2 linked regions of the Mus musculus genome follow. The protein of the gene in region 2 purifies or fractionates together with the protein of the main gene of each other region. This does not show direct contact. Links are inferred from orthologs where the notes say so. Each region holds a gene or a part of one and is shown on either strand. Other genes may lie near its edges.

What was found.
Region 1: the proteins of Dusp2 (region 2) and Mapk1 purify together in Homo sapiens (affinity purification with mass spectrometry; 4 studies listed by BioGRID and IntAct, with this or other methods). This does not show direct contact. The link is inferred for Mus musculus from reciprocal best matches to the Homo sapiens genes DUSP2 and MAPK1.

Annotation. Positions count from the first base shown.
Region 1 is NC_000082.6:17,013,510-17,017,881, reverse strand, and holds part of Mapk1 (mitogen-activated protein kinase 1), read right to left. Parts: intron 1,985-4,372; coding exon 1,802-1,984; intron 1-1,801. UniProt on the Homo sapiens protein: Serine/threonine kinase which acts as an essential component of the MAP kinase signal transduction pathway. MAPK1/ERK2 and MAPK3/ERK1 are the 2 MAPKs which play an important role in the MAPK/ERK cascade.
Region 2 is NC_000068.7:127,333,876-127,339,701, reverse strand, and holds Dusp2 (dual specificity protein phosphatase 2), read right to left. Parts: upstream 3,544-5,826; 5' UTR 3,465-3,543; coding exon 3,065-3,464; intron 2,926-3,064; coding exon 2,804-2,925; intron 2,454-2,803; coding exon 2,234-2,453; intron 2,122-2,233; coding exon 1,907-2,121; 3' UTR 1,325-1,906; downstream 1-1,324. UniProt on the Homo sapiens protein: Dephosphorylates both phosphorylated Thr and Tyr residues in MAPK1, and dephosphorylation of phosphotyrosine is slightly faster than that of phosphothreonine. Can dephosphorylate MAPK1.

The DNA.
Region 1 (4,372 bases), on a different chromosome or scaffold from region 2:
CTCTGTTCTCCAAACTGTCCACTATTAACCAATTTCCTCCAAAGCTTAAAGGGCATGGTAGCCAACAAACAACACCCATCTCTTTGGCCCAGAAGCAATGTGTAATTGTATTGCACTGTTTTCTTTGCTTCTTGTCACCAATATCCTCACAGACCAACCCAGAAGTACTGGCCTAGAAATAGCATCGCCACTGAGTCCAATCTCTGCCTTTCTTCCTCATTCTCTAAATTCTGCATATGTATTGTAAGACCATAAGGTGTGTAAAGAAGTTGATGATAATAGGTTCTGCTCTTTAACCTCCACTGCCTAAGCACCTAAAACTTCAGCTAAGCCACATTATTTCTTATGAAAATTAAACTGTAGTAACCTTTTGCTTTTAACATTACTATAATGATGTTTTATTAGGGGAATTTTTGCATTTATTTTTACGCATAAATACTATTCTATTTTCTACAGGCTAAATGAGATCAGTCCCATGCTTGAATTAAGCAAACCTTATTTATAAAAGGTGTTCTTCTCTGACAAAAGGTAACAAGAGCAACACGTGCAGCAGCAGGAGGCTTTCCCTTGCAACACCACCCCACTTACTAACAGACATGCTTACAAAGACAAAAGCTGCCTAGAAACATGGAGCTGCTGTTCCTACAGGTCCTAGGAGGTGGACTCTTCTAGACCAGCTCACCACTGATATCTAATGCTGGCTACAATTACATGTATCAGAATTGATCTGGTCTTCAAGACCTTGAGGTCCAGTCTATTCTATTTTTTATTTTTGTTTTGTTTGAGACGGGATTTCTCTGTGAGGCCCTGGCTTTCCTGGAACTCTTTGTAAACCAGGTTGGCCTCGAGCTTAGATATCCACCTGCTACCACCTCCCAAGTGCTGGGATTAAAGTGCATCACTGTGCTCGACCCAGTTACTTTAAAGATAAGGAAGCTGAGGCTGAAAGAGGAGCACACTAGGACTGTCTGGAAGACACTGATCTGGTCAAGTGTACATCTACTAGAGTACCTACGTCCTGTTGTGAAAGCTTGTTTGACTCCCTTTTCACTATCATAACAGTCATCATGGGATTGGAAATTACATGAATCAACTTTCCAAAACTAAGATTAAAGAAAACTATACAGAAACTGACAAACACTTAACTTATAGAAAGCATATTAAAACTAGTTACAAGAAAAAAGATAAAATTAAAAAAAAATCCTTTGGGGCTGGTGAGATGGCTCAGTGGGTAAGAGCACCCGACTGTTCTTCTGAAGGTCCAGAGTTCAAATCCCAGCAACCACATGGTGGCTCACAGCCATCTGTAACAAGATCTGATGCCCTCTTCTGGAGTGTCTGAAGACAGCTACAGTGTAATTACATATAATAAATAAATAAATCTTAAAAAAAAAAAAATCCTTTAAATACTAGGTAAGCGCAAACATTATAATCTCCTCTTAGCATACTTTTACATATACGGGAAGAGTGATTAAAAAACTCTTTGTGCAAGCTGGGCAATAGTGGCGCATGCCTTTAATCCCAGCACTCAGGAGACAGAGGCAGGTAGATTTCTGAGTTTGAGGCCAGCCTGGTCTACAGAGTGAGTTCCAGAACAGCCAGGGCTATACAGAGAAACCCTGTCTGAAAAAACCCCAACCAACCAACCAAACAGCCAAACACCCCCCCCCCACACACACACAAAAACAAACAAAACAGAAACAACAAAAAAACCCTCTGTGCACTTTTTCTTGATTCCAAGTTATTTACTCTACAAAGTGACCAAGCAGCAGTGGCAGCAGCTAACTTTAGAAAAGGATACACATCTTTCATTTGCTCAATGGTTGGTGCCCGGATGATGTCATTGATGCCAATGATGTTCTCATGTCTGAAGCGCAGTAAGATTTTTATCTCTCTTAGGGTTCTTTGACAGTAGGTCTGGTGCTCAAAAGGACTGATTTTCTTGATAGCAACTCGAACTTTGTTGAGATTATCATAAGCAGAGCTAAAAAAAAAAAAAGAAAGTATGTATATGAAAATTAAAAATAGCTCACTGAATTACTTTGTAGAAGGAACACAAACTTGTAAAGTATTGAAGTTTTAACATCTGTCACATCTGTGTTGATAATTAGTTGATACCTATGGAAGCAGCAGATGTAAAGTAGCAGCAGATGCTGAACCTGACATTTAAGAGCTGCATGGCCTGTTCACGAGACGAATGCCCACTTCTATAAACCTGACACAGGAAACCACCACATTTTCCTACTGTCTTAAAGAGCAGATAACACTTTGATGAAAATGCCATTTCTGCCTCCAAAACAACTATCCATAGTTGTTACTGAATTCTCTGACACAGCAGAAACACCAAATACCACCAACCACATCTTTATCCCTAAAAAAACAAACAAACAACAGTTTTAGAAAGCTTTACTGCCCTTTATCAACCTCTTTCTCCGCCTCTAAATTGTATTTTATGTGTATGGATGTTTTGTCTGCACACTATCTGTACACCTCATGTGTACAGTGGCTTTGGCAAGCATCAGATCCTTTGGAACTAGAGTTCCAGGCAGTTGCTAGCTGCCATATGGGTGCTGGAAATAGAACCTGGGACAAGAGCAGCCATCTCTCCAGCCCAATTACCAACTTTCTTATAAGCAAAACACAGGTCTATTTCTGGTTGTTACTAGGATAATTTTCTAACAAAATCTACAAAGTAACCTTCACAGCCATAGGATGGGAGTTTTTTCCAAGCTATACTTAAGACCCAACTACATAATCCGAAAAGAAGGAAGCAAAATCTTGCTTTTAATTTTAGGATGGTTTAAAAGTTTAAATATAACTACTATCTTTTTTTGGGGGGAGGAGGTCATGGGCCAACAATTTACCTAAATATTTTCTACAAAAGCATTTTATATTAATGTCAACAACTGACCAGTGACTAAAGCACTAAAAATACTGGCAAGCAATAAAATATTTCCTTGTTTCCTTACTAAGTGCTTAAAAAAATGAAATGGTATTTACTGACATCACTACTGATGCCTCTGACTGAGTGTAAAAGTCTGTTTTAGGAGTAGACTTGTCAGTGGCTGCAACCATCTCACAATGCTATTACAGGCTGTGCTGTCCCAAAGCACTTTGAAATGATACACAGTTCTTAAACAGGATGACCATTTAAACATTATTTTCCTTGGTTTGGTAGACGAGGGCCCAAAGCAGTGGTTCATGAGGAGGCAAGCAAAAGCTTGTATAGTTTAGGCAAGTGTACTCAATATTGGGATCTACTTTTAAAGATAAACACCCCCTTTGATAATCGTAACAAGAGCGAGTTTACAGTTAAAACAGGTTTGGGATTGTTGGCTCTGTGCTAGAAAGCTGCCTGGTAGCAGCATAAAGCCCTGGAATTTGATCCTTCAGCATGGTAAAAGTTAAAATTAAGTAAAAGGAAACTTGTAAAACACTGGCCAGAAGAAATTTGACATTATAAATTCTTATTTTTTATAGAACACATTAGTCAAATCTGGTTTGCTTTACAAAATTATAATCTACCAGGACTGGTTTTCATTTGTTTATTTTTATGGCAGGGTCTTTCTTGCTATGACTGTTCTGGAACTCAGATCAGGTACCTCTGCCTCAAGAGCTAGGATTAAAGGTATGGGCACCACAATGGGCTTATCTAAAAAAGTGCTGTTAGAAAAGAATTAAGCATCAGTGTGGCCTTCTACTGTATCACCCGACTTGATAGTGAAATAACCAAACTGACTTCTTTATTGAAAGTGTGACACCATCTTCTTCCACCCTCACTTTCTGACTCTGCTCAGAGTGTGGCCTGATCCTGTTAATACAGGCAGACATACATGCAGGCAAAACACTCATATGCATATAAATAAAATACAATTAAAAAGAAAAGGCAAAGAGAGCCTACCTAGAGCATCTGTCCTGATGGCGCACATCAATCATCCCAGCATTATCTTTGAGTTTGAGGCCAGTCTGGTCTATATATTGCAAGTTCCAGGACAGCCACTGAGAGAACCTGCCTCAAAATGCAGTGGGTGGGGTAGAGACATGGCTCAGTGGTTAAAAGTTCATAATGTTCTTCCAGAAGGTTCAAGTTCAGTTCAGAGCACAACTCCTGGATTAGGTTTGAGGCCTGCTCTACAGAAGAGCTGTGTCTGGTGCTATAAATCTAGTCAAAGAGTCCATGGCCAGGAAAATTATATGTATACTAACTCCCTTTCCTAATTCTGTTAACTCAACATCTACTAATATCTTGCTGTTATTAAACTGCCTTTTAAATATATTGATACCCTTAATTCTCAATGCTTCAGTCAAGCTTAGAAGAGAAACTTCTTTCTGTAGTAGGTAGCTAGCAGGCAATGCAGAGACTTTCAAGTGG
Region 2 (5,826 bases):
GAAACTGGTAGGGTTGCCTGCCTCATGGCCTGGTACAGGCGGGCACCAGTACAATAAACAGATATAAGATGAATAGTGGGGAACATAGAAAAACTAAGCAGTGTGTGTGTGCTACGGAGAAAGGCGAAACTGGAGATGTGATTGATGGTGGTGACGGATGAGAGAGGGCTGGTGGACACGCTGTCATTGCCCAGGAAGGTTGGCAGAATGGCAGCCTGGAGCTTATGCTGATGCAGACTCAGCTCCCCAGACCTTCTGCCTGGCCTTGAAATCCCGCTAGCTCTGAGCAACCATGGAAGCCCAAGATGAAGAAAGGTTTGCTTTCTGGATTAGACCACCTTAAAGGTTCAGGAAGTCATGTTGGTATCTATAGTCCATGTTGCTGCCCCAGGATGGAGATGCAAGTCTGTGCCTCTGACTAATGATTTGACGTCCCTGGGCTTTGCTGCCTGGGGTGGGTGGGGAGGGGGGCTCAGGTGGAAGCATGTTGTTGCGAGCGGCATTTGTAGCCACCTGAGGCCATGTTGTAGCACCTGCCCAGGGACAGCTGCTGTGAGCCATGAATAGGTTAGTGGCTCTGATATGGCCAGCCCACTTGATGCCTGTGGTTACCACTAAGGCAGGCTGCCTGAAAACACGTTAAAGTCTGTGGGTGTGGGTGTGGGAGAGCTGGCCCCGCCCCTCACTGGCTCTTCCTCAGTTGATGGCTTCTGGTATGGAGAAAGGCTAAGAAAGACTCCTCCTCCTCCTCCCTGTGGGCCACTAAGAATTCAACCATGTTCCAGTGAATATATGGACAAAACAAAATGGACTTACCTTTTCCTTTTGGGGGGGCAGAACATCCTGGGGAGGGGAGGGAGCAGATGTGGGAAAACTGGGAGGTGAGCACAATCAGGGTGCTTGATGTGAGATTTCCAAATAATTCATTAAAAAAAAAAAACTGATACAATTCCTGAGGAAGGCTCAGAACAACCCTAGCTCTTGAGTGCTTTACCCAGAGCAGAGAAAATGGGCGCCAGGGGTAGGTTATGCACCCTTCATCCAGGGAGCCAGTGCCCTCTGATCTAAATGCCCTCAGTCAACACATACCTGCACACCACACACTAGGTAAATGTGGGGTCTGATCAGGGATGCACAGAGCCGCTGTGAGGCTGAGGCCGACCTCGGCCTTCCTAACCCTCCCAGTTCAACCACAGGCTAGAACCTGTATGGGAAAGAGCCCAGCCCAGGCCAGCCCAGGCCAGCCCAGGCCAGCCCAGGCCAGCCCAGGCCAAGGCAGACCACTCAGCCATCGCAGGCACAGACTTGAGACCAGACAATGTGGTACTGCTCTTTTTTAAACAAAACACTGTTTTTATTGACACAACCTCAATGTTCTATATAAATATAAAGTGCTGTTTCCAACGCCCCTCCCTGGCCCACAGGGCCGGGAGGAAGTTGGGGAGAGAGCGTTAAATGTCAGTTGAACACAAATAACTTTTCAGCACCAATTACAGCGAGATGCCCACACACACACACACAAAAGTCAGATGTCCGTAACATGACACACACGTCACTTCCTGGCTCCCCTGGGAGCACAAGGCTTAAGCTTTGGGTCAAGGGCTGCACACCCCTAGACATGGTTTCTGCTTGTCACAGCTTGTTTTCTGAGCCCTTGGGTGACCAAGGGCTTTAATATAGTAAATTAATTAATTAAATTAATTTCTGCAAGTCGAAGGAGGGAGAGCAAATAAGGGCCAGCCCTTATGCCACCTCAGAAGAGCACCATATCAGAGCAGCCGTCATCCTGGATTTCCTAGCACCCCAGTGGGACGGCAAGATGAGGAGGGAGGAGCTGGGCCACAGCAGCTTCCCCCAGGAGTCAGTCAAAGCCAGAGCTGTGGGTGGGGCCAGGCTGGGCTTTGCCTCAGTGACACAGCACCTGGGTCTCCAGCTGTAGCAGCTGCCCCATGAAACTGAAGTTGGGGGAGATGACTCCCCGACGTTGCTTAACAAAGTCAAAGGCCTCGTCCAGCCGTACCCGGTGGCTCTGAATCAGGTATGCCAGGCAGATGGTGGCTGAGCGAGAGATGCCAGCTTGGCAGTGCACCAGCACCCGGCCCCCACTATTCTTCACCGAGTCTGAAAAAGAAATGTGGAGCCGAGAGTCAGACAGGAAGGTGGACAGAGGAATCAGGTGCCTGTACCTTCTCCCCTACAGTTCCCACAGAACCCTGGGCTGAGGCTCCCCTACCTATGAAGCTGATAGCCTCCTGGAACCAGGCACTTATCTCCACCATCTGGTTATCTTCTACTGGAATGCTCTTGTAATGGAAAAGACCCTCAAAGTGGTTGGGGCAGCTGGCAGAGACATTGAGAACTGCTGTGATGCCGCAGGCCTGCAGGCCCTGAAGATCTGAGGAGTGGTTGCAGCTGCCCAAGTACAGGTAGGGCAAGATTTCCACAGGACCACCCTGGAGGAGGAAGGGGACGGTGGTGAGACCTCACTCAGCCTTGTGCTGGAGGGCTTGATCCAGACATCTTGGATTGGCTAGAAACAAGAGAAGCTCTAGGCCTTCTGACCAAGGACAGAATTAAAAGTCTTGAGGCCACAAGGGGACATATGTTCAGACACTTTGTGCCACATATGCCTTAAAGTCTGTATGAGGATATATACACGTTCACACCATTTGCAGGTCACACAAACACTCTCCACATCTGGGAATGTATATTGGAACACACCCCTGTCTTTCCCCACTGGCGTTCTCCAGAGGCATCCCTCTAGAATGCACAATGAAGACAACAAATTCGAATATCAACTCACCTGGTCATAGATCGGAACCCTCGGGTCAGAGTTGCTATTTTCGGCCCCAGCAGGAGGCAGGGCCTGGGCAGGAGCTTCAGAGCACAGATCCGGACAGTACGTCTGGAAGCTTTTGAAACCGCCTGTGGGAAAGACAAGAAAGGGTATGATTAGCCAAGAGGTCGGGAACGGGGCACGGAACGTGGGACAAGGGGCTAAGAGCGCGGGGCGCGGAACATGGGAGAAGGGGCGAAGGGCGCAGGGCGCGGGGCGCGGGCTCACCTCGCAAGAAGCACACGGTCGTGGGTCCCCCGCGCATCTCGTGCTGCAGTGCGGCTAGCAGCAGGTGAGCGGGGCCGTCCGGCGGGAGCTCGGCCACAGACGCGCTGCTTTCATCCAGCACCACGGCACGGGCCAGCTCCCCGCGGCCCAGGCGCGCCCGGAGTGCGCGGTCGGGCAACAGACAGGCGAGGGCAGCGGCGGGGGTGCCGCGCGCACGCCGCCGCAGCAGCGCGTTCCAGGGCACCGGTCGCGCGGCGCGCACGTGGCTCCGGCAGAAGGCCAGGAACGGGCGGCAGTCGAGCAGCAGCGTGCGCTCGGCCTCCCGCGGCTCCCGCAGCAGCGCGCCCAGCGCCGCGCACTCTAGCTCGCACGCCGTCTCCAGCCCCATGGCGATCGGCATCGCAAAGCCTCCTGCTTCCGGATGTCCTCTCCCTCGGCTCCGGCGGCGCGGTGTCTGTGTGGCGGGAGCTGACGGTTCTGGGGGCTCTTCGTCGAGCCCGGGCTTAAATACTCGAGGGCTGGCCCCTCGGGTCACCATACAAGGGTAGAGCAGGAAGGCGCCGGTGCCCGCCCCCGCGGCTTCACGTGGGACTCTGGCTGGGCCGCCCCCGGGGCTCCCTGAGCGGACAGGGGGTGGGTGGGGCGGGGCATCAGGGGGAGGGACACGCGGGGGAAGAAACTGGGAACCAGACCGTGACAAGTGTCGGCCTGGAGTCTAGAGGCCCCACCCACGTCTCTCCAGTGTATATGCCCCAGTGCTCCCCACTCTTTGCCAGGCTTCAAGCCACTAAGTGCTTAGGAACTCAGCTCTCAGCTGCACCGAGCCTTTGAGTTACTCAGGTCTTCAGCTTCCTCACTTTTCCCATTTTCTCCCAGGGTTTTCATTCTAGGAATTTCGATAGCAAAAATGGACAAATTACCTGTTGCTACCCATAATGATACACTATTAGGAAAGACACCAACCGTCAGGAAATTGTCCTATTCTCCCATGTCAGGCCCAGGCCCAGGTGGAGGAGTCCTGGAAAGCCAAAGCCCTGGGGCAGGGGCGGGGGTGGGGTGGGGTGGGAGGGGCTTTAATGGGGAAGGGGCGCAGGGGCCTGTGACGAGTTTCCTCTTATGACTGGGACAGTTTCTTTCCCCAGGGGCCCAGGGAAACCCCCAAGAGCCTAAAAAGAAGTAGTTCCCATGCCACAGGCCAGGGCTAAAGAGGAACTCTGTTGACGATGCTGGGCTCTCCCAGGGCATAGCCAGGCCTGGCGGGAATTTCAGGGGAAGAAGGACTATTCACAGAACCTGTTCCCTTCCGACCCCTTAGGAGCTACAAACCCCTCTGGGACAGGCCCTGGTCCCACACCAAACTGTAAGAATGAAAAACTGGGTAACTCACAGCCATTCTGTGCTCCCCCACTCAAGTGCCTGCCCGCCCCCCCCTCCCGGATGTGGTGAGGCCCAGCTGCACGTGGGCCCCCCGGGACACTCCTGCGTTGGGGGCGAGAAAGTTGGTAGGTGGCTGAACTGAAGCAGGCGGGTGGGGACAGTGTTCAGAACCCAGCCTCCCAAATCTTTATTGCCCTGAGCCAATCCTCTGCCTTTACTAAGACCCTTCCAGCATCCCTGCAGATCCTTTGTTTCTTGGAGGCCTGTGGCTAGAACCTGTGGGGACCCCTAACATAAGGTATGGTAGGTATATAGGTGCTCGAGCAAAATATTATGCCTTTCCTCTTGATTTGGGGAACTTGGGGCTTGTGGGGGATACAGAATGCCAGGGAGAGCTACGAGGACTCCTGGACCAGGAGTCATGGACTTGTGTCTCAGTGGCACGGTCATGCAAGTTGGTTCCAGGGCCACAGCCTGGGTCCCTTCCCACCAAGCCTGTCTGGAGGCTGATACAGCACAACTGGCAGCCCAGCCAGGGAGTCTGGACCATAGATCCCTGAAGCTGATAGGGGGCTCTTATCCTTGGCATCAGCCTCACAGATGACTTAATGGCTGATTCCAGGGACAAATTACAGAGCATGGAGGGGGACCATCATGTCTAGTCTTGCTGAACAGAGTCACCTGCCATGCCTGGAGCCACAGCCTTCCAGCTGTGGAGAAGAGGGGAGGCCCTGCTAGCTGAGGTCCCTGCAGCAGGAGTGAAATCAACTTAGCTTTGTGGGAAACTCCAGCCCCTGACTCCAGTGCTGAACTGAGCTGCTGGGCCCCCTGGCAGGGTGAGAGTGTGTCCCTCAGAGTCTGCTGGGTGCCTCAGTCTTTGCATATGAGCCAATGCGGATCTGTCACACATACACCCCAAAGCCACTGTCCTTGGCGTGGTACCCTTTTCAGCTCTGACAAACACAGATGAACTCAAAGAAGCCAAACTGAACCATAAAAGAGGAGCTTGCCTTCATCTTCTGCTGGAGTCCCAAATCAGGGGGAAACCCCCACCTTCAACACCTGATGAAAGTCCAAGGCTGGGGTAGAAGAGCCCACATCCCTCCCCAGCTCCTGTTCTGACTGAAGATCCCCACCCCCCAATGCCGCCACCAATGAGTCATCTGTAGGTTGTCTGCCACCCCTTGCTACCTCCTCAGGACCCTGTTTGTCCAGAACCATTCGCTGGAAGCCTGCCAAGAGGAGATAGGACTCTGGACATCGGCTGGGGATAACATGAGATGGGGCCCCAGCCAGGATGGCTGCTGGCACAGGCTGCCAAGTGCCTCTTCACTAGACAGTAAGTGACCACACGGTTGGTTTCTGTTTAAGGTTGTTCATGGCCT